3 linked regions of the Astyanax mexicanus genome follow. The protein of the gene in region 1 interacts with the protein of each later gene in a pairwise test. Links are inferred from orthologs where the notes say so. Each region holds a gene or a part of one and is shown on either strand. Other genes may lie near its edges.

Region 1 (7,557 bases):
CGCTAGCTAATACTGCCCTGGCTTACCAGAACACTCGGTGTTCCTCAGTGTAGCGCTGTCAGCCGGATTTACGAGCGCTAACTGAGGCAAGCCCTAGTGGTTAGCCACTAATGCTAATGCTGATGCACACATCCTTAGTGGAAATCTGGCTTACTATATATAAACGGAAGCGCTTATTGCCAAATAAACAGTTTTCAGGAGAGAAACCTGTGTAGATTAACATCCAATGCTCATTTTATTTTAATATATATATTTTTTAAGAATTACAGTTTTGTTTACTTAGCTTAGCTTTACTTAACTTAGTTACCCCCACTACCACCCTGCGGGGAGATCTGCTGAATTAGAAGGATACTAGTAATGATCTCGTAATTCACCTTTTAATCCGGTGCACCTTATAGTGCAAAAAATATGGTATATGCACTTCTTGGTGGCAAAACAGCTGCAATAAACTCATACTCTGTGAAAGTATAATAACTGTTATATAATAACTGAATAAAATGAATCATTCAAAGTATTATGTGTTCAGATCAGTGAAGAGCTGGAGAAAGTCAAACAGGAGATGGAGGAGAAGGGTAGCAGCATGTCAGATGGAGGTAAAACTACACACACATATAAAAGGATATTTTAAACTTTTTTTAGAAATAAAAAACTAAAAAAAAGTGAGGCGTGCAATATTTTTCGCCCCCTTTAATTTCAGTGCAGAAAACTCACTCCAGATGTTCAGTGAGGATCTCTGAATAATCCAATGTTGACCTAAATGACTGATTATTGTAAATAGAATTCACCTGTGTGTAATCAAGTCTCTGTATAAATGCATCTGCTCTGTGATAGTCTCAGAGTTCAGAGAGCATCATAAAGACCAAGGAACACACCAGGCAGGTCCGAGATACTGTTGTGGAGAAGTTTAAAGCTGAATTTGGATACAAAAAGATTTCCCAAGCTTTAAACTTCTCAAGGAACACTGTGCAAGTGATCATACTGAAATGGAAGGAGTATCAGACCACTGCAAATCTACCAAGACCCAGCATTCCCTCTAAACCAGGGGTATTTAATTAGAATTCAGTATGGTCCAGTTAGAGAAAATTTCGACAGGCCAAGGTCCGGACCGATTGTTAACTTGTGTTATGATTAAGTTAAATATCCTCTAAGGTTGTTTGAACTGAATGATGAAAAAATATATAATAATAATAATAATAATAATAATAATAATAATAATAATAATAAAATGCCTCTCTGGCCAGATTTTGTATACATTCCTCCCCTGTCTGTCTCTCTGTCGCGCTTGGCGTGACTTTAGTTTACGCCCGTTCTCGTTTTTCCGCCCATTCTCGGGCTCTCTATCTCCACATAAAGGCGGTTTTACGGCCGCGTCCCAATTCAACAGCCGGAGCAGCGGGACCGCAACCCTGACAACAAGGGTTTGATCCCGCGCGAGGAGCGGTGTGTTTATTTATTTATTTTTTCCTTACCGCGTCTGCACAGATCTGATTGACTGAAGAGAGCGTTTGGTGATCTTACCCCACACGTGATTGGTCTGTGATTTACTGTGCCGCAAAGCGTGTATACAATTAAATCCTTCTCAGTAGGTTTCTCCGCAATGGACAACGTTTGGGTCCAGAACACGGTCCACCCAATAGTGACCTCTGCTCTAAACTTTCAGCTCAGACAAGGAGAAGACTGATCAGATATGCAGCCAAGAGGCCATGTTCAGATATCCATAAAAAATCTAGTTTAAAGTTTGCCACCAGCCACCTGGGAGACACACCAAACATGTGGAAGAAAGTGTTCTGGGCAGATGAAATCAAAATTGAACTTTTTGGCCACAAGGCAAAAAACGTTATGTTTGATGTAAAAGTAACACAGCTCATCAACCTGAACACACCATCCCCACTGTCAAACATGGTGGTGGCAGCATCATGGTTTGGGCCTGCTTTTCTTCAGCAGGGTCAGGGAAGATGGTTAAAATTGATGGGAAGATGGATGTAGCCGAATACAGGACCATTCTGGAAGAAAACCTGTTGGAGTCTGCAGAAGACCTGAGACTGGGAAGGAGATTTATCTTCCAACAAGACAATGATCCAAAACATAAAGCAAAATCTACAATGGAACAGTAACCCGTTGTTAAAATGGCCAAGTCAAAGTCCAGACCTGAATCTAATCGAGAATCTGTGAAAAGAGCTGAAAACTGCTGTTCACAAACCAACGCTCTCCATTCAACCTCACTGAGCTCCAGCTGTTTTAAGAAGAAAAATGGGCAAAAATTTCAGTCTCTCGATGTGCGAAACTGATACATACCCCAGAGACATACCCCAAACCACTTGCAGCTGTAATCACAGCAAAAGGTGGCGCTACAAAGTATTTTAATGCAAGGGGGCGGAATAATATTGCACGCCCCACTTTTCAGTTTTTTTATTTCTAAAAAAAGTTTAAAATGTCCAATAAATTTTGTTCCACTTCACGATTGTGTCCCACTTGTTGTTGATTCTTCACAAAAAATTTCATTTTCAATGAAATTTCAATTTTACAATTTCATATCTTCATATTTGAAGCCTGAAATGTGGCAAAGGGTTGAAAAGTTCTAGGGGGCCGAATACTTATGCAAGGCACTGTATATACATACAAAAAACATACTTACAAATAGTATTTTTTTTAAAAGCCCTTTAAAAATTTAAAACATTGTTTTATTGTTTTATTTACTGTTTATGGTGATACACAGTGGCACGAACATCCTGCAGCAGTGGGTGCAGACGCTCAATGAATCACAACATTGTTCAATTCTTCAGTGCTACACAGCGCACCATGCAGTATTGTTTTCATTAACAATTGTAATTAAAAAATAAAACTATACCATAGAAATTTATATGACTTGTGAAATAAACATAAAATGTAAAAAGATCGTCTCTGGCGTTGTGGGTGATAAATAAGGAGAAGCTGATAATAAACATCTTCTGTGTAAAGGAATAGTCTACTACGGGGCTCTCACTTCTGTGCTTCATTGCTGGGATGTTTGATTGAGGTGGCACTGATGTTTTGTTTGTTTTCAGCCCCGGTGGTGAAGATCCGTCAGAGCCTGACGAAGCTGAAGCAGGAGATCCAGCAGATGGATGTGAGAATGGGAGTGGTGGAACACACGCTGCTGCAGGCCAAGCTAAAAGAAAAGAACAACATGACGAGAGACATGCATGCTACACACATTACAGAGACCAGCACACACACCTACTCATAATGTCTCTTACACACACACAACCTGTATAAAATATATCTATTTATATATGACCTATATATATTGCTGTAAATGTCCTTGTCTTTATAACTTTTATAATAAACATCTAATTTCATGTATATAAAACGTGTACGTTTTATTCATGAAAAGTGAGTGAGTCACTGAAAACTATGTTTCTGTATAATGTTAAAGAATGTAGAGTAAAACATATATATAATATATATATATATAATTTATAATAATAATAATAAAAATAATGTATTTTTAACAGGTTGTTGAACACTTATCTTTACCTACAAAACTGAATTCATTCAATGACTATTTTAGAGTCAGAGACAGCTCCCTTGTCAGCAGCTTAGCTGTGCCCTGTATTTACACAATTATGTGCACTGTAATGTTCACTGTACAATTGGTGGCCACTGTTCCATCTTTGTCCAACACAAATAAGGTAAATCTGGTTATCTTGTCTACATTACTTTCCTGTAAATTTGATTGTTTCATCCTGGTTATCTTATCTGCAGATTGTACACAGTGTAATCACAATTGAGTGTCTGACCTGACAGACTGACAAACAACAACTTTTTCTGAATGAGAAGTGAAAACAGGGTCACAATGGGGCAACTGGTGGTATTTTTATGTAGTTGGTTTCGTGTCTCAGGTGGTTTCTGCGGCATTGAGTGGAGTGGTGGCAACTTTATTTATGTAACACCATTCATACTTAAAAAAGCATCACAATGCTTCAAAATAAACTTAAATAAAAAATGTAAACAAAACCCCAAAGCTCCCAAAAATATCCCCCCCCCCCCAAAATAAAATTCATGCCATAGACAGTGTGCAGTCAATTGTATGTATTTCAGCATTAACCCTTTAAGACCTGAATTATGTTCCAGTGCTAAAAACATATGAGAGAGATGTTTTCAACAGATGACTCTAATGTTTTGATATTTAATATATAGAAAAAAATTATCTAATGAACTAAAATACATAACTGCTTTTTTAATGTTCATGGCATTGGAATCACATGTTCAACCTTTTCTTTCTTTAACCTTTTTGTTTTAAAACCATCAACGGTAAAATAAAAATAATTAATAATAAGTATACTTTTAATCTTGGTCTCATCCGACAAAACACACGGTCCCAGTTATAATCCCAGTACCGCTTAGCCAACTCCATGTAAAAAATACATTTATTTTAAGGCTTTTTACACATTTTAACTAGGGATGCCAATAATTTGAGGGCTGTATATTCTTATTGACAACAAATCTCATAAAAGTCCAGTGTAGTGCACGCAGGGTCTCAAATGGTTAAGTGTAAAACGCGTTACTCGCCGCCTTCTGGGTTTTTTGGATGTTGCGCTTGCCGTACAATGTCAAGTATGTTGTCAAAGTTGGATTAGGAGGTAGAGCGACGGAAATAAGGGCTTTTTAACCGTGAAACAGGTGAGTTTTCCCTGCATTTTGAGTGTGTTTAAAGTGTACTGGTTTAAACTCGCATATTTTGTGATATTTAACTGGGAGAGCAGGCTAATATTCACCCTGTAGCTCTCAGGCTAGTGCAACTGTAGCCGTTAGCCCGCTAAGCTAACTGGTAAAGGCAGTTAGCTGTGGGAGTAGCGGGGCTAGCCCAGCCCGTGTCGCAGTGTCCGACCTGTTACTGGAGCCGGAGGGAGAAACGGTTTACTGTAACGTTAAACACACTAACACAGTGACACAGTGAGCTGTTTTACTTTAGTTCACAATTTTTTTCCAGTCGCTTAATTGCTTTAATCCAATCTGCACTTACCTTTTCAAAATTTTATATACATTTAACCCAACATCTGTTGTGGACTATACTATTCACACAATTCATGTTGCTAGCACGCAATATGCATTCAGTTTTAAACATGCTTACATTTTATTAACAAACAGAATTCCCCACATGAGAGAAAGAGAAAGAAGAGAGGAAGAAAAATATCTGGACAGGGAAATTTATAGTTAGTTTACATTTACATTGTAAATGAATGTATTTTAGTACAATATAAATATATTAAAGAAGCTTAGTTGTTCTGGAGTTTGTCTGGAGTTGTCTTGAGTCTGAATGATATATGATTATACTTCTCACCCAACCACAATCAGATTCACTCTATCTGGATGGAGAGATTTATCTGGAAAGGGTTTTTTGAACTTTGAGAAAACCCAGGCTTGAGTAAAAGTGCTCGATCAAAAAAGTGACTTAAGTAGAAGTTAAAGTGTTTTTTGATCACCACACTTAAGTGAAAGTACTAAAGTATTCAACATTTCTGAGCATTTTTAATACAGAGATTACAAATTAGGCAGATAAAAAAAAATAAAGTGCTAAAATAGTGTTTAAAAAACAAAACAGTTAATCTATTGAATTCAGAGTGCTTTAAAAAAAATCATTACAGACAATAATAAATAAAATAAATTAAATATGAAAGCAAAGTTTTCTCCTGCTAGATTTCATGAATTATTAACATCCGTTTAGGGTCTTTAGAAAATATGACAGAAATTGTTCTATTTTAGAATGCAAAAAAAAAAAAAAACTAGTGTCATTTGTGTGTGAGGGAATAATTTTAGCCAATGTAAACTAAAGTTGTTCAGTTTGTGAAAAACAACAGTGATTGTCATTATAAAAGATTATATGTATTGATGCACAGAATCAAGCCAGACAGAAAAACGAACCGGTGTGCCGCCCAGCGGTCTGCCCAGCGCCAGGTGAAGCAGAACAAGCCTGTTATATTGTGATGTATTGGCTGTTGACGGTCATGTGTGTTTGCTATGCATAACATCACAAAGCTATTTTTAAGGCTTTATTCCTGTGATCTGTGCTGTGGAAGTACATCACTTTGTGTACTAGCACATTATCGTGATGCTAGCGTTAGCATTATCTATCTTTAAAGATGGTAAATCAGCCCAACGCACAACATAAACATTAAAAAAAAAAAAGCAAGAGGATATGAGGTAAAATTAGGCTGACTGCAGAACATCCTTGACCACAGAATACCTTCAGCTTGGCTCTTAACACAAATAGAACCTCACTGTTATGTCACTTGTCAGTGCCTGATCGTGCTACTGTAAACAAGCCAAGGTGATGTGATGTGATTGATTTAAATAAAATTGTAGGTAGTATCGAATACACACTTTCATTTAAAACACTACTATTTAGTAAGTGGGGTTTCAACACACAGCTTAGTAACTACTGTCTGACAGCAATCTTCACATGTAAACTAATATTTAACCCAAGAGTTAACATACCCTGTCATAGACCCAGTATTTTAACCCCAATATATTTACAGTCATATTCCCACAATTAAGAACAAGTAAACATGAATGAGCTGTATATATGATTATGAAACCTCACTCAACAACCAACTTTTACAGGTGCTAAATTTGTCATACAGTCATATGAAAAAGTTTGGGACCCCATATTAATCATAATCATTTTTAGTTGTAAATATTTGGGTGTTTGTAACAGCCATTTCAGTTTGATATATCTAATAACTGATGGACACAGTAATAGTTCAGAATTGAAATAAGGTTTATTGCACTGAACAGAAAATGTGCAATATGCATTAAACCAAAATTTGACCGTGCAAAAGTATGGGCACCCTTATCATTTTATTGATTTGAATACTCAGACATCCGAAGCTGCAAAAGTTGATTTCAGGGAGGTTAATCACCTGACAGTAGCAGTAGAACATTCATGTGTAGGATGTTGCATCACTGCTATTCAAAAGTTAGTCGACAGAGCAAAATTAAGGAACCCTAAGTGTTGCGGTAAGGGCAATATTAGCTAGCGGTTCTCCAGCAGTGCTAGCTTGGGTTAGCATCAGGCTGCAGGTGGTTAATGCTCACCTCTAAACGGCAAAGTGGCTAGTGCTTAGCACGGGTAGCGGCTAATGCTTATGCTGCTCCAGCAGGGCTAGCCAGGGTTAGCAGCAGGCTACAGGCCGATAATACTCACCTCTGTTAACGGCTAATACTGGTGGAGAACTAAAATTAAACTCCTGTATAACTCTGTTTTTCAGCGAAGTGGCTTTACTGCTCCTTAATACCTGACTGGTAGAATTCATACATAAAGCGCACCAGATTAAAAGGTGCACTAGTAATTTTTAGGAAAATTGAAGGATTTTATGAGCACCTTGCGTAAAATGTAAAATATTTAAGAGCCATTCATTTCTCTGACTGGACTGCACAACTGACTGACTGGACAACTTTGTATTAATTTAAGAAATACTTGCTTTGTTGTGGAGTTCCAAAGGTCATGTAATTCATCTTAAGGTTCAAAAATAAAATTCAGTGTTTAAAAAAATGTTAATTGTTTTGCTTTTTAAT
Region 2 (7,680 bases), on another chromosome or scaffold:
AGTTCAGAGAAAAACAGTGGATAAATCAGCCTGTAATTTTCTCAGAGGAAAAACACGTACATGATCGTTCTGGACAGGAATAAAATCACAGAGGACCCACATAAAAGAGAAAAATATCCCAGAACCCCCTGAGAAACTAATCCCGTCCGGAAATGGCTTATCTCGTATTGCGCTTCTGTCCTAACCACTTTGTGTAATGCAGTACTTATACGAATTAACGATTAATCTATAATGAAATTTGTAATTGATTTAAATTTAAATAATCAACATTTTGTCAATTGTATCGACTAATCGTTGCAGCCCTATTTCCGATCCAGTGGCAACTGAGTGGAAGAACAAGTAAAGGTGTTTCTAATAAAGCAACCACAGCGAGGTTATTGCACAACCTGAGTATAGATTTTTTGCCAATAGCAAGAAAAACTGGTTAGTGTTGCAGAGCGAACCACAGATTAGCCTAAAAGCATTTCTATTTACAACTATCTATTGTCACCTGTTGCTGACACAGGTGTTCAAATGCACAAACACAGCTTGTCTAAGTTCCTGTAGAAGAGAAGTACTGCAAACAGACAAACAAAACCCATGTCTAACGCGAGACGTGAGATACTAGGGGTATAAAGTCCCCAGTATTGTGGACAACTAGTATAGGATGAGTTGAGGAAGTGGGGGATGTATGAGGTGGGGTTGGTGATCATCATCCAACATCCTGACCTTACATTCCTGACATTCATTTCAATCAAATCCTCACAGCAATGTTCTAAAATATTTACTAGAAAGTCTTCTCTGAACAGTAGAGACTATAAACTCTTTAATACTCTTGTTTTCAAAAGAAAAAATATGCAGAAAAAACAATGAACTTTCACCCATATAGTGACTCTTCTTCCAACGTTAGACCTTAAAACCAGCTGGTGTTTCCACTAAAGTGGCCACTGACAATACAGTAGGTATGGTGTTTCTAATAAAGTGGCCTCTGACAATATAGTAGGTATGGTGTTTCTAATAAAGTGGCCACCAACAAGACAGTGTGTAGAGTGTTTCTAATAAAGTGGCCACTGACAGGATAGCAGGTAGACGAGTACGGCGGGGTGTTTCTAATAAAGTGGCCCCTGACAAGATAGTAGGTAGATGGGTTTGGTGAGGTGTTTCCAATAAAGTGGCCAGTGTGAGCTAATCGCGAAAACACAGAATATTAGCCTGTTAGCAGTGGGTTAGCCGGCAGGCTAACAACAACAGGTTGTGTTTTAGAGATTAATGTATCTCTAAAGCAAATAAAAAGCCAGGATATTAAAAACAGTCGCCTAATTATCACATTAATCGATTTAACTTGGTCAATATCGCGTTAAAACCTCGTAAGTGCCTCTCCGGATCCCCGGGTGAGTGCCAGTGTTAGCCTGTTAGCTCGTTAGCCGCGGCGCTAGTGGAAGTCTATGGGAAGTGTTAGCCTGTTAGCTCGTTAGCCGCGGCGCTAGTGGAAGTCTATGGGAAGTGTTAGCCTGTTAGCTCGTTAGCCGCGGCGCTAGTGGAAGTCTATGGGAAGTGTTAACGCGGGGGGACCGCGGGGTTATGTTCTGGATGTTTCTGAGCGCGGGGTGTGTGTGAGGGGTGTGAGGGAGTGTGGGGGGTGAGAGCGGCGGCTGGCAGCGGTACCGCGGCTGGGAGCCGGACCGGGCCGGGCTGAAGCGGGTCGGGGAGCGGGGTTATAAAAACTCACCAGCGGCGCTTTTTCCCTCAGCATCTTCCGCCGAACCGCCGCCGCTCCGGGGGAGGAGTCTGGAGGAAGGGGAGGAGCCTGTGTGTGTGTGTGTGTGTGTGTGTGAAAGTGAGTGTGTTAATGTGTGTGAGTGTGTGAGTGTGTGTGTGAAAGAGAGAGAGAGAGAGTGTGAGTGAGTGTGTGTGTGTGTGAAAGAGAGAGAGAGAGAGTGTGAGTGAGTGTGTGTGTGTGTGTGAAAGAGAGATAGAGTGTTTGTGTGTGTGTGAGTGTGTGAGTGTGTGTGAAAGAGAGATAGAGTGTTTGTGTGTGTGTGAGTGTGTGAGTGTGTGTGAAAGAGAGATAGAGTGTTTGTGTGTGTGTGTGTGTGTGAAAGAGAGAGTGTGTGTATGAGTGAGTGTGTGTGTGATAGAGAGAGAGAGTGTGAGTGAGTGAGTGAGTGAGTGTGTGTGTGAAAGAGAGAGAGAGTGTTTGTGTGTGTGTGTGTGAAAGAGAGAGAGAGAGAGAGTGTGTGTGTGTGTGTGTGTGTGTGAAAGAGAGAGAGTGTGAGTGAGTGAGTGAGTGAGTGTGTGTGTGAAAGAGAGAGAGAGTGTTTGTGTGTGTGTGTGTGAAAGAGAGAGAGAGAGAGAGTGTGTGTGTGTGTGTGTGTGTGTGAAAGAGAGAGAGTGTGAGTGAGTGAGTGAGTGAGTGTGTGTGTGAAAGAGAGAGAGAGTGTTTGTGTGTGTGTGTGTGAAAGAGAGAGAGAGAGAGAGTGTGTGTGTGTGTGTGTGTGTGTGAAAGAGAGAGAGTGTGAGTGAGTGAGTGAGTGAGTGTGTGTGTGTGAAAGAGAGAGAGAGAGAGTGTGTGTGTGTGTGTGAAAGAGAGAGAGAGAGTGTGAGTGAGTGAGTGAGTGAGTGAGTGAGTGTGTGTGTGAAAGAGAGAGAGAGAGAGTGTGAGTGAGTGAGTGAGTGAGTGTGTGTGTGAAAGAGAGAGAGAGAGTGTTTGTGTGTGTGTGTGAAAGAGAGAGAGAGAGAGTGTGTGTGTGTGTGTGAAAGAGAGAGAGAGAGAGTGTGTGTGTGTGTGTGAAAGAGAGAGAGAGAGTGTGAGTGAGTGAGTGAGTGAGTGAGTGTGTGTGTGAAAGAGAGAGAGAGAGAGTGTGAGTGAGTGAGTGAGTGAGTGTGTGTGAAAGAGAGAGAGTGTGAGTGAGTGAGTGAGTGAGTGAGTGAGTGTGTGTGTGAAAGAGAGAGAGAGAGAGTGTGAGTGAGTGAGTGAGTGAGTGAGTGTGTGTGTGAAAGAGAGAGAGAGTGTGAGTGAGTGAGTGAGTGAGTGAGTGTGTGTGTGAAAGAGAGAGAGAGAGAGTGTGAGTGAGTGAGTGAGTGAGTGTGTGTGAAAGAGAGAGTGTGTGAGTGAGTGAGTGAGTGAGTGAGTGAGTGTGTGTGTGAAAGAGAGAGAGAGAGAGTGTGAGTGAGTGAGTGAGTGAGTGAGTGTGTGTGTGAAAGAGAGAGAGAGTGTGAGTGAGTGAGTGAGTGAGTGAGTGTGTGTGTGAAAGAGAGAGAGAGAGAGTGTGAGTGAGTGAGTGAGTGAGTGTGTGTGAAAGAGAGAGTGTGTGAGTGAGTGAGTGAGTGAGTGAGTGTGTGTGTGAAAGAGAGAGAGTGTGAGTGAGTGAGTGAGTGAGTGAGTGAGTGTGTGTGTGAAAGAGAGAGAGAGAGAGTGTGAGTGAGTGAGTGAGTGAGTGAGTGTGTGTGTGAAAGAGAGAGAGAGTGTGAGTGAGTGAGTGAGTGAGTGAGTGTGTGTGTGAAAGAGAGAGAGAGAGAGTGTGAGTGAGTGAGTGAGTGAGTGTGTGTGTGAAAGAGAGAGAGAGAGAGTGTGAGTGAGTGAGTGAGTGAGTGAGTGAGTGTGTGTGTGAAAGAGAGAGAGAGAGTGTGTGTGTGTGTGTGAAAGAGAGAGAGAGAGAGTGTGAGTGAGTGAGTGAGTGAGTGAGTGTGTGTGTGAAAGAGAGAGAGAGAGAGAGTGTTTGTGTGTGTGTGTGTATGAGTATGTGTATGTGTATGTGTGTATGTGTATGTGTGTGTGTGTGTGTGTGTGTGTGTATGTGTATGTGTGTGTAAAAATGAGAGTGTGTGTGTGTGTGAGTGAAAGTGCGTGTTAATCACTTTTATTCATTTAATTTATTTTTTTTATCTAATTGTTAATTAACTGATTCATATCTCTATTTCTGTTTGTTTTAAGATTATTTTTACCATTTTTTAAGCGTCAATATATTGGGTATTATTTATAGTTGTATTATTTGTATTATTATTGTATTATTCTTTTCTATTATTATTATTATTAGTAGTAGTAGTAGTAATTTCTATATAAAAAGAGACCTGTCCTGTTTTTAATTTGCCATTTTAAGTATGAATAAATATAAAACAGACACCTACATAAACACTTTATTTTTTCTTAAAGTATTTTTTTATGTATTTAGTTGAGTAGATGTTGCTTCTCATAATCTGGATTAGAACATTACTCAAATATTCACTATTCACTGTATACCTGTAACTCTACCTCTTCACTACTTTACTTTAACTGATGCTCTCAAACACTTTGAGATGAGTTCAGCACAGCTGTTAACTGAAAGCCTGAATTCCAGGTAAAATCCAGCAGAGATGTGCAAAACTGATTATCTAAGAATGTAATATATTATTATATTCTGGGTTGTTTAACATTTTTTTGGTTTAGTAAATAATTCCAGATGTTTTTTTTTTATTATAGTTTGTAAAATAATGATAAAACACTGCATTTAAGGTGGGTCCAAACGTTTGACCTTTAAACCCTGGTGTAAATTTTGAATGATGCGCTGGCGCCCCCTACAGGAACAGTTCCACACTGCAGGCGAGCCCGGTTACCACTGACTACCCCATATACAAACAAACAGAGAGGAGAGCTCAGAAACTTCAGCAGCTCATATATATTACAGATATATTACATGTATTTCACTATATCTGCTTTATTACAGCTTTTATTACAGATAACTCGCTATATTAAACACAGTCAGTTAATTTAATGTATATAAATATCAACAGAAATTAGTTCAGCTCTGTCCACACTGAAGAAACACAGGAGAGCTCCTCTAATACCTGCAGAGGATCAGCACAGGTGAGCTTTACCTCATTTATACAGGTGTATCTTATCACAACAAACATTTTATTGAAAATAAAATGATTTATTCTCTTTCTGTAGCAGTGAGAGGCTCATCTACAAGGAGGAAACCCACACAGGTAGGCACTAAACCCTAAATCATATTTCTATTTTTATTTATATTTGAAATACTTTCCTTTGAAGTAATAAAACATACCAGTCCTGTTTAAAAAATAACCGAAACATTTCCTAACCTTTAAAAAAAAAAACTCTTTTATTCTGGTCATTTCCGCCTCTGCTGCGCCCCCTTTGGGTTCAGCTGTGCTATAGGCGAAGATGATGTGTCCGTGTATTTTAATACACGAATACTTACAATATGCAAATCAGTCAACCAATAATACTGCCCCCACTGACATCCAATCATCTACGTCTTACAGCTATTAGAGGCACACTACTGCTGCTGCAGCTCAGCCAATGAGCTCTCCCTCCTGCTAAACCCATACATCACTCAGTGCCCCTCCCAAACTCCTCCTCCTTCCATTTTGTTTAGCTTTTTTTATTTGAGCTGAGGGTGGATTCAGCTAAAATCAGACCAAAATCATTACATTTCTCACCCATGACTTTTTTTTTATCCCATTTTCTCACCAATTTACAAGGCCAAGGATCACTAGTGATCCCCCAACACCAGGAAGGTGAAGACTAGAAGTCAGACTCTCTCTTATGGGGTCAAAATCGGGTCAAAAGTTTTGAGAACCAAAAGTATAATCCATAACTAAAAATAATGAAATAAAAAAGGACAATAATTGATATTATAAATTTTAAAATCATGTTTGTAAACAGAATATTTAATACTCTTTATTAAATAGAGAGTTTAATATTGCATTTTGTGTTTTACCCTTTTCTGACTAGTCCCCACCCACCTGTAAAAACAGGATCAAAACTAAACCAAAAACAAAACCAAGAAAAAAAAATACTAAAAGCAAAGAGATATACTAAAAATACTGCTTCTCAAAACTTTTGACCCTACTTTGACACCATACTCTCTTTTTGAACTGCTGCTGATGCAGCATTACTGAGAAGCATCACAGCGCTAACGCTCGGAGAAAAGCGCAGCGACTCGGTTCTGATACATCAGCTCACAGATGCAGCCTTGTGCTGATCCACATCACCCAACATCAAGTATCAAAAGTGTCCAGGAGTGCAAATGTACAGGATGTTCAGTAAAGTGTCAAAAGCTGGTTTCTGGCAACCTCAGGGGTGGAGTTAGTGTTGGGAACGAGCAGCAGGCGGAGTCAGAGGCCACACCCACACAGATTTCTGTGACGTACTGCACAGTTCTAGTTATAAATGACTGGCTTTAGCCCTGCTGACAACAAAAGACAGTATTTGAACTTTGCATGTTTCCTTAAAACCTTAAGATCCTTAATATCCACCATGATAGCTACCATTAACTACTGAAAATAGAAACCTTATATGTAACCTTAATATGTAAAAATTAGCTGCACCGGTCCTCATACCTAAAGCAGCCCATATTATAACTTCACTGAGAGATGGGGATACATATATGGATATACAACTCTGGAAATTTAGAGCATTTATTTACAGAAAATGAGAAATGTCTGAAATAACAAAAAAAGATGCAGAGCTTTCAGACCTCAAATAATGCAAAGAAAACAAGTTCATATTCATAAAGTTGTAAGAGTTCAGAAATCAATATTTGTTGGAATAACCCTGGTTTTTAATCACAGTTTTTTTTTTTTCATGCATCTTGGCATCATGTTCTCCTCCACCAGTCTTACACACTGCTTTTGGATAACTTTATGCTGCTTTACTCCTGGTGTAAAAATTCAAGCAGTTCAGTTTGGTGGTTTGATGGCTTGTGATCATCCATCTTCCTCTTGATTATATTCCAGAGGATTTTAATTTGGTAAAATCAAAGAAACTGTAATGTTGTAGATATTTGGACCATTTTCCTGTAGAAATGTGAACACGTCAATAATTTGAGATGATATTTAAGTGGATGATGTTTGTGTTTGGATGGATTAGATGAAGCTCTGCTGCTTGGAGAGCTTTTTCCTCAGGATCAGCCAAAGCCAGAAACCACGGGGAACCTTACATCACTGAGGTCAAAGGTAAAGGTCATGCAGCGAAGGAGCCCTAAAGAAGGTGAGCTGAAACGTTAGCATTGCTGCTGATTTAAAGGTCCTGGATTCTCTGGAATGTGCTTGCGCAACTTCTCACACAGGAACCAGGATTTATAAGAAATACTTGCCAAGAGATCAAGAGTATATTTACGCATGGTTTGAGGCATGAGTACTCCTACAAAATATTGCGGAAAGAGAGGGGGAATTAGCAGAACCATGTGGTTAAAGAGACTATTGTATTATTTTTACACTAGCTTATTTATTTCGTATTATCTTGCACTTAAAACCTTTTTTTGAAAAGGTCCTATATATAAAAAAAAGATTATTATTAGTTCACTGTAAAAAAAAGCAAAACTTAAAAAATTCTCCTTAATGTGATTCAGCTGAACCAAAAATATTGAATTGCACTGTAAACTATAGAAAACGAATTACCTAAACCAACTTTATTAAATTTCTTGTTAAAAGTAGATCTGAATAAATAATCTGTTTTGATAGAATTTACAAATTGCAGTTGAACCCTAGTTGAGGTCAAGCCAACTACTTTGCATTACTGCACTACTGCACATGCTCAGTTCGACTCTTTAGGTGAACGGGGTCTACAGAGCAATTCTGCAGGGGTTTTCACCTGGATGTTGGTCACACTATTTGCACATTGGGCGTGTCCTACCATCTCTCACACATCATCAGTGTGTAGTCATTCCCCACGGACTGCCTTGTCCTGGAATTTGCATA
Region 3 (7,120 bases), on another chromosome or scaffold:
GTGGACAGACACTCACGGATGTAAAAACAGCAAATGGGTTTAAAGTTAGAAGGATCTGTAAAAATCAATGTCGGGCCAGGTCAAACAACAAAAGCAAAATCAAACACATGGACAAAACCAGTAAATATGAATAAAGAAGAAGAGAAAAACACAAAAGCCAAAAACAAATTACAAATAGCCAGACAGAGTTTACAAACACATAAACATAATCAAAGGGGTCAAAAGTGTTTACAATAATTACTCCGGTAGGAGTATAGATAAAAAAGGTTTAAAACTCAAAGTAACTTTTTTGGTTTCAAGTAACGTGTTTAGTTTCAAAGCTAAATGTAGCTAAAAGTACACTACCCCCCCCCCCCCCTTTTTTTTCTAAAAGCCACAGTGACAATACTGTTAAAATTAATAAAATGTAAATGTTGATAAAATTTTGGATGCACTATGCGTACCTGTTTCAGCCGCATATATTCCCATTGAAAATAAATGTATTTAAGAACATATGTTATGTAAATATATTAAAGAAGCTTAGTTGGACATTTTGCTCGCGTTCTCTTGAATCTCTGCACAGATCATCTTCATACTAGGCTTCATACGTCTGCTATGTTCTTGCTGGTGTGTGGGCCGTGACGTGTACAGGTGTGATGGATCACAGTATAAACCAATAGGGGGTCGGAATAGTATATGTTTATACTTCTCATCCAACCATTATCAGATTCATTTTATCTGGATTTTTTTTTTGGATGATGAGAAGCTGGAATGAAAACAAGCTGAAATGAAATACAAGTAACAAGGCTATTTTTAAAATGTAAGGAGTATAAAGTACAAATAATTGTGTGAAAATGTAAGGAGTAGAAGTAAGTTGTCTAAATAATCAATTACTCCAGTAAATAATACACTTGCAAGAAAAAATATGTGAACCCTTTGGGATTACTTGGGTTTCTTCTTCTTGTCATAGACAAACACAAACAATTATATGTTTGCATGTTTTTATTAAACACAACATAAGTATGTGAACCCCTAGGCTAATGACTTTTCTAAGAGCTAATTGGAGCTAGGATGTGATGAGATTGGATGTGTTAAAGCTGCCCTATAAAAACACACCAGTTTTGAGTTTGCTGTTCTTAAGAAGCATTGATTGATGTGAATCATGTCTCGCACAAAAAAGGTTGTGCACTGTTGCTACTCTCCCTAGGTGTGGTCGTCCTGTAAAGATGACTGCAAGAGCACAGCGCAGAATAATCAATGAGGTGAGGAAGAATCCTGGAGTGTCAGCTAAAGACATAGAAATCTGGCACATGCTATCATTTTTTTTTTTGACAAAACAAATCTACAATAAGTACAACATTAGACAAGATTGGACTTTATGGGAGGACACCACGGAAGAAGCCACTGCTGTCCAAAAAAAAAAACATTGCTGCACGTTTAAAGTTTGCAAAAGAGCATCTGGATGTTCCACAGCAGTACTGGTAAAATATACTGTGGATGGATGAAACCAAAACTGAGTTGTTTGAAAGGAACACACAATGCAATGTGTGAAGAAAAAAAGGCACAGCACACCATCATCAAAACCTTATCTCAACATTGAAATATGGTGGAGGGGGCATCATGGTTTGGGGCTGTTTTGCTGCATCAGGACCTGGACATATTGCTATCATCAACAAAAAAATAAATTCCCAAGTTAACCAAAACATTTAGCAGGAAAACTGTCCATCAACTGACCATCTGTCCACCAACTGAGGCTCAACAGAAGATGGATGATGCAACAGGACAACGACCCAAAACAGAAAATCAACAACCAAATGGCTTCAACAGAAGAAAATATGCCTTCTGGAGACAAAATGAGTGGTATTCTGGGTAATGCAGTCCAGAGAGTCAATATAAGAAATAGGTCCAGGAAAATATGCTCATATACATATATCCTCAAATAAAATCCAAATCTTAAGATGTGTTCTTAAATGCTTCTTAAAGTGTGCACTGAGTTCTGCTACTTGGCAGTAAAATAACTGATCCACTACTCCACGTTCTGTGGAATGTACACACAGTCCTTATTACAGACCATTTTAAGCTCTGTGATCATTTAATGCTGCACTGTCTTTTCAAGAGGGTCGGAGTGTGTTTACACTTTGTCCTTGTTTACATTTTTCCCTGCATGCTTTCATTATCCGTTTAACATCTATCACTCCAGTGCCTCTGTGACTAGTGTAGGAATGAAAGCAGGCTGAAGAAAACAGGAAAAATTGTTTGAAGGGAGGTTATTTGGAGGAAGCTGACAGGCCTTTGAATTTTAGATCTGCATGCCCGTCCAAAAGTGAAGAAATCCAGATCATATAGCAGCTCATTGTTTTATGATTGTGAGCTAATTAACCAAACTATTTTTTTTCCTTCTTTTTGTTAGAGTTACTGGTTTTATTATCGAGACCTGCATGAAGAAAAACAGTCATTCTGTTTTGTTATTCTGTGCTATCTGTCTCACCCTCATTTATCTTTGTGTACTGCAGAAAACATTGAAACATTAAAATAATTTCTATTTCTCTTCCATATCCAGTAAAACAACATAAATGTTTTGCAACCGTTGACTACAGATATCCTTACAAATGGAGAGGCTTTAGAGGAAGCTAGCACTTAGCACTTAGCACTCTTTGATGAAAGAAATTAGGTCCCACTTTATAATAAGTGTCCCTAAGTAGTATGTAATTACACGGTAACAATCCATGTAACTACAGTGTAACTACTGATGAAGTACACAATGATACAGATTAACTACAGAGGTACAGGTTATGTAATTACACATGTGTATTTAGGTTAATTTTGACTTGTGTAAGTACACATGTGTACCAGGGTGAGTGTACTTACACAAGTGATAGAGTAAGTGTACTTACACATGTGTAACAACGTGTGTGTACTTACACATGTGTAATAGTGTGTGTGTGATAAGTCAAGTATAAACTTATCCAACATCTATTGTCTAGTATGTAATTAGGGCTGATTGAGTACACACACGTTGTTACACATGTGTAATTGAATTCTAATTAAATACCCCTGGTTTAGATCAAAGAATATTCATGTGTTAGAATGGCCCAGTCTTAAATCACATTAAGCTTCTGTGGCAACACATGAAAACTGCTGTTTACAGATGCTCTCCATCCAATTTGGCTGAGCTTGAGCTGTTTTATAAAGAAGAATGGGCAAAAATCTCAGTCTCTAGATGCGTATATCTGGTAGAGACACACCCAAAAAGACTTGCAGCTGTAATTGCAGCGAATAGTGGGTCTACTAAATAGAGGGGGGGCTGAATACTTTTCACGTCCCACTTTTCAGATTTTTATTTGATAAAAAAATTAAAAACCATGAATCATTTTCATTACACTTCACAATTATGCAATGTTTTGTAATGGTCTATTATTTAAAATCTCGACAAAATACATTTAAGTTTGTGGTTGTAAGGTCACAAAATGAGGAAAAGTTTAAGGAATATGAATACTTTGGCAAGCCACTCTATAACTGGTCAGTAATAAACAAATACATTTAATGGGCTTAAATATAAGTTAGTCATTTAGATCACTTTTTTTTATTAGTGAAGAAATTGATTTAAACACATTTATATGATAAACACAAACCTAACATTTTTCAACATTTCCCTGATAAATGTAACAGTTTTCTGTTTCCCGTTATAAGGAGTAACACTACCAACACTCCCAAACAGGTTTTCCCAGTTATGATTCACACAGCTCTTTGTCTCTTGTTTCCACTGCATTCTCAATTACATATTTTTATCATATCATATTTTTATCACCTCACATTTAAATCTAGTGGTTGAAAAAAGGGAAAAAATAGCTAAAAAGAAGGCAGAACATTTGTGTGTGTGTGTGTGTGTGAACTGTGTGGGGGTGGGGTAAATTCTACTGTACTGGGCTGAGGAATTCTAAACCCTGTCAGAAACAATCAGAACAGTTCGATGAGCTTATTGTTGCATGAGGTCGCAACAGGCCCAGAAAACAGGCAGCGATTGGGCTGCAGCATGTGCTCATTCTGAGCTTTTTTTTTTTTTCATGTCACTCCTACTCCAACTCCAGAAAGCCTAACAAACCTCTCTCTCTCTCCATTGGATAAACAGAGTTCTAGCGGTGGCAGGAGGTGTGGTTGAAAACTAGCTCCACAAGATTTCCCAGCAGTCTGGACTGTATAACTGACACTGGCTGAGTTAAGGCAGACATTTTTACCTCTGGGAGTTCCTCTAAATCCAGGCTGGAGCTGGGAATGCCTCGCTACGATCCTGATTGCTACAAATTGACTTTAAGTAAAGTTACTTTTACTATTTTTTGAAGATATCCAAGGTGGCATAGAAGTGTGGGCTGAAATCCAGGGCAGCTCATGATGATGCAGCATGATTCAGTTCTCCAGGACCTGAGGGATAAGAGGTAAAATCTTTGTTTATTTCACAGGATTGATAGAGTAAATATCACAAATAAATATGCCTACAAAATATTCACAAATATGCATTGTTTTTTTGTTTGTACTGTAGTTCAATGCTATTTTTTTTTTTAGGAAAAAAACAAAATAAGGGATGTACAGTATGGTTTCTATATATTGTATGTAGAAATATTAGACATTTATAGTATGACACTATTATAAGGTGTGAATGTACTGCTTATTGTGCAGATTCTATATTAGTCAGTACTTCTCTTTTTGGTTTAAATTAGTAATTAAAGGTGCATACAGATATTCCATGATTATATAAAAGAATCAGACCACAATAAAGGAATATAAACGGAACAAACTGAATTAAAAGAATGAGATTATTTTCTGTCCTGATCTTTAACTACACTCTAAAAAACAGAGGTACGATATGAGTACTTTTTTGCACTCAAGGGTACACTCTTCATAATTGTACCCTCAAAGGTACAATATTGGTCTTTACAGGGTCAGATTTGTTCTCTCTGAAGTACAAAGTAATTTCTAACAGAAATAAGTACAAACTTGTACCATTTAACCTGCAGACAAAAGGTACATTCAGTATTCTGTATCACTGTACTAATAAACAATATATATTTAAACTGCACATTTTTATTTGAAAGCCAGATTTTGGATCATCAAGTTTTTGAGCCATATTTAGTTGATGATAATGTTTATAATATTTACTGGCACAAAAACCATGGGTACAAAAAAGGACTTTCACTGAAAGGTACTTTTTTGTACTTCAATATAAGGTACAGCCCCAGTGACAAGCTTTGTACTCTTTTAAGTACAAATCTGTACTTACTTTTCTTAGTGTGTAAGCAGGATTTGATATTGGCACACACTAAGAAAAGTAAGTACAGATTTGTACTTAAAAGAGTACAAAGCTTTTCGCTGGGGCTGTACCTTAGGTACAAAAAAGTACCTTTCAGTGAAAGACCTTTTTGTACCCATATTTTTGTGCCAGTAAAGATTATAAAGATTGTAAACATTATCATCAACTGAATATGTGTCAAGAACTTGATGACCCAAAATTGTCTGGCTTTCAAATGAAAAATGTGCATTTAAAATATATATTGTTTATTAGTACAGTGATACAGAATACAGATTGTACCTTTTGGCTGGTTAAATGGTACAAATCTGTACTTATTGCTGTTAGAAAAGACTTTGTACTTCAAAGGGAACAAATCTGACCCTGTAAAGACCAATATTGTACCATTATGGGTACAATTATAAAGAATATACCTTTGAGTACAAAAAAGTACTCGTATCGTACCTCTGTTTTTTAGAGTGCAGCTTATATACTGAAACAATACTGTTGACTAGTTTAACCATCCATGCTCTGATATAAGAAATTACTGCCATTATAACTTTTATTAAATGTATCTAAACTAAATTCACATGAATCCTAAAAGTCTGTCCTTACACAGAGAAACCAGCCCACGGTTGAGATATAGTATGTCAACACTATGAGACTTTGTATAAACATGGGCAGAGGATCCTCCCGTGAGGCATAGAAGTGAAAAGAGAGCAAGTCATGAGGTACCAGACCATTTACAATTATTAACTACAGACTTTAAACATAGTTTTTTGTAAGGCTGGACAATATAGCAATATTTTATTGTGTTATTGCAATAAATCTTGTTATTCCATACACAAACTACTTTTCTCAGCATGCTGTGGATATCATCAGTCTAATATGTCAACAGGAATTGTATTATAATAGCAATTTGTAAGAATTTATTGAAAGTAAATTCTGTATCATACAAATGTTAAATCTTTATATATTGTGATTATTATATTTTTCCCATATGAATCATTCTTGTTTGTTGATGTTTGTTGTAAATCAGAACAGAACCATGTGAACTGAATGCGAACAGATTTAGTGAGGAGGTAGAATAACTTTTCTTGGCTATGTGACACTGCCTCAGGAGGCCTCTCACCCAGAACCAGAGTGAACAAAGCCCACTCTTATATTTATAAGCTCTACCTCTAAGGGGATTGGGTGGGCCACACACACACACATCCACTCACGCATACAAGGTATTTTTAGTCTTTCCTCCTTGAAATCCATCTAGCAATTTGATAGCTCCGATTTGCACTACTCTGTTAAATTTCACTTTCTCTGTATTCTGCACTACAACAAACAGCTCTGGAAAAAAAATAAGTTTCTTTGATTTTACCAAATTAAAAACCTCTAGAATATAATCAAGAGGAAGATGGATGATCACAAGCCATCAGACCAAGCTTAACAGCTTGAATTTTTGCACCAGAAGTGACATAAAGTTATTCAAAAGCAGTGTGTAAGACTGGTGGAGGAGAACATGCCAAGATGCATGAAAGGTGTAATTAAAAACCAGGGTTATTCCACCAAATATTGATTTTTGAACTCTTAAAACTTTATGAATATGAACTTGTTTCTTTGCATCTTTTGAGAGGTATTTTATGTTTTTTCAGCCATTTCTCATTTTCTGCAAATAAATGCTCTAAATGACAATATTTTTATTTGACATTTGGGAGAAATGTTGTCTGTAGTTTATAGAATAAAACAACAATGTTAATTTTACTCATTTTAACATAAACCTATAAATAGCAAAATCAGAGAAACTGATTCAGAAACTAAAGTGGCCTCTTATTTTTTTTCCAGAGCTGTATCCTACACAAGATTACA

What was found.
Region 2: the proteins of prkab2 (region 1) and UBX domain-containing protein 11-like interact in binary tests that used the Homo sapiens proteins (3 or more experiments, as listed by UniProt). The link is inferred for Astyanax mexicanus from reciprocal best matches to the Homo sapiens genes PRKAB2 and UBXN11.
Region 3: the proteins of prkab2 (region 1) and stx19 interact in binary tests that used the Homo sapiens proteins (3 or more experiments, as listed by UniProt). The link is inferred for Astyanax mexicanus from reciprocal best matches to the Homo sapiens genes PRKAB2 and STX19.

Annotation. Positions count from the first base shown.
Region 1 is NC_064411.1:27,924,570-27,932,126, reverse strand, and holds the start of prkab2 (5'-AMP-activated protein kinase subunit beta-2), read left to right. Parts: upstream 1-4,554; 5' UTR 4,555-4,662; intron 4,663-7,557. Other genes in the region: ift57 (intraflagellar transport protein 57 homolog), read left to right, coding at 527-593, 3,045-3,226. UniProt on the Homo sapiens protein: Non-catalytic subunit of AMP-activated protein kinase (AMPK), an energy sensor protein kinase that plays a key role in regulating cellular energy metabolism.
Region 2 is NC_064408.1:128,134,045-128,141,724, forward strand, and holds the start of UBX domain-containing protein 11-like, read left to right. Parts: upstream 1-4,671; 5' UTR 4,672-4,822; intron 4,823-4,906; 5' UTR 4,907-4,944; intron 4,945-6,850; 5' UTR 6,851-6,945; coding exon 6,946-6,970; intron 6,971-7,680. UniProt on the Homo sapiens protein: May be involved in the reorganization of actin cytoskeleton mediated by RND1, RND2 and RND3. Promotes RHOA activation mediated by GNA12 and GNA13.
Region 3 is NC_064418.1:27,583,403-27,590,522, reverse strand, and holds the start of stx19 (syntaxin-19), read left to right. Parts: upstream 1-4,111; 5' UTR 4,112-4,412; intron 4,413-7,120. UniProt on the Homo sapiens protein: Plays a role in endosomal trafficking of the epidermal growth factor receptor (EGFR).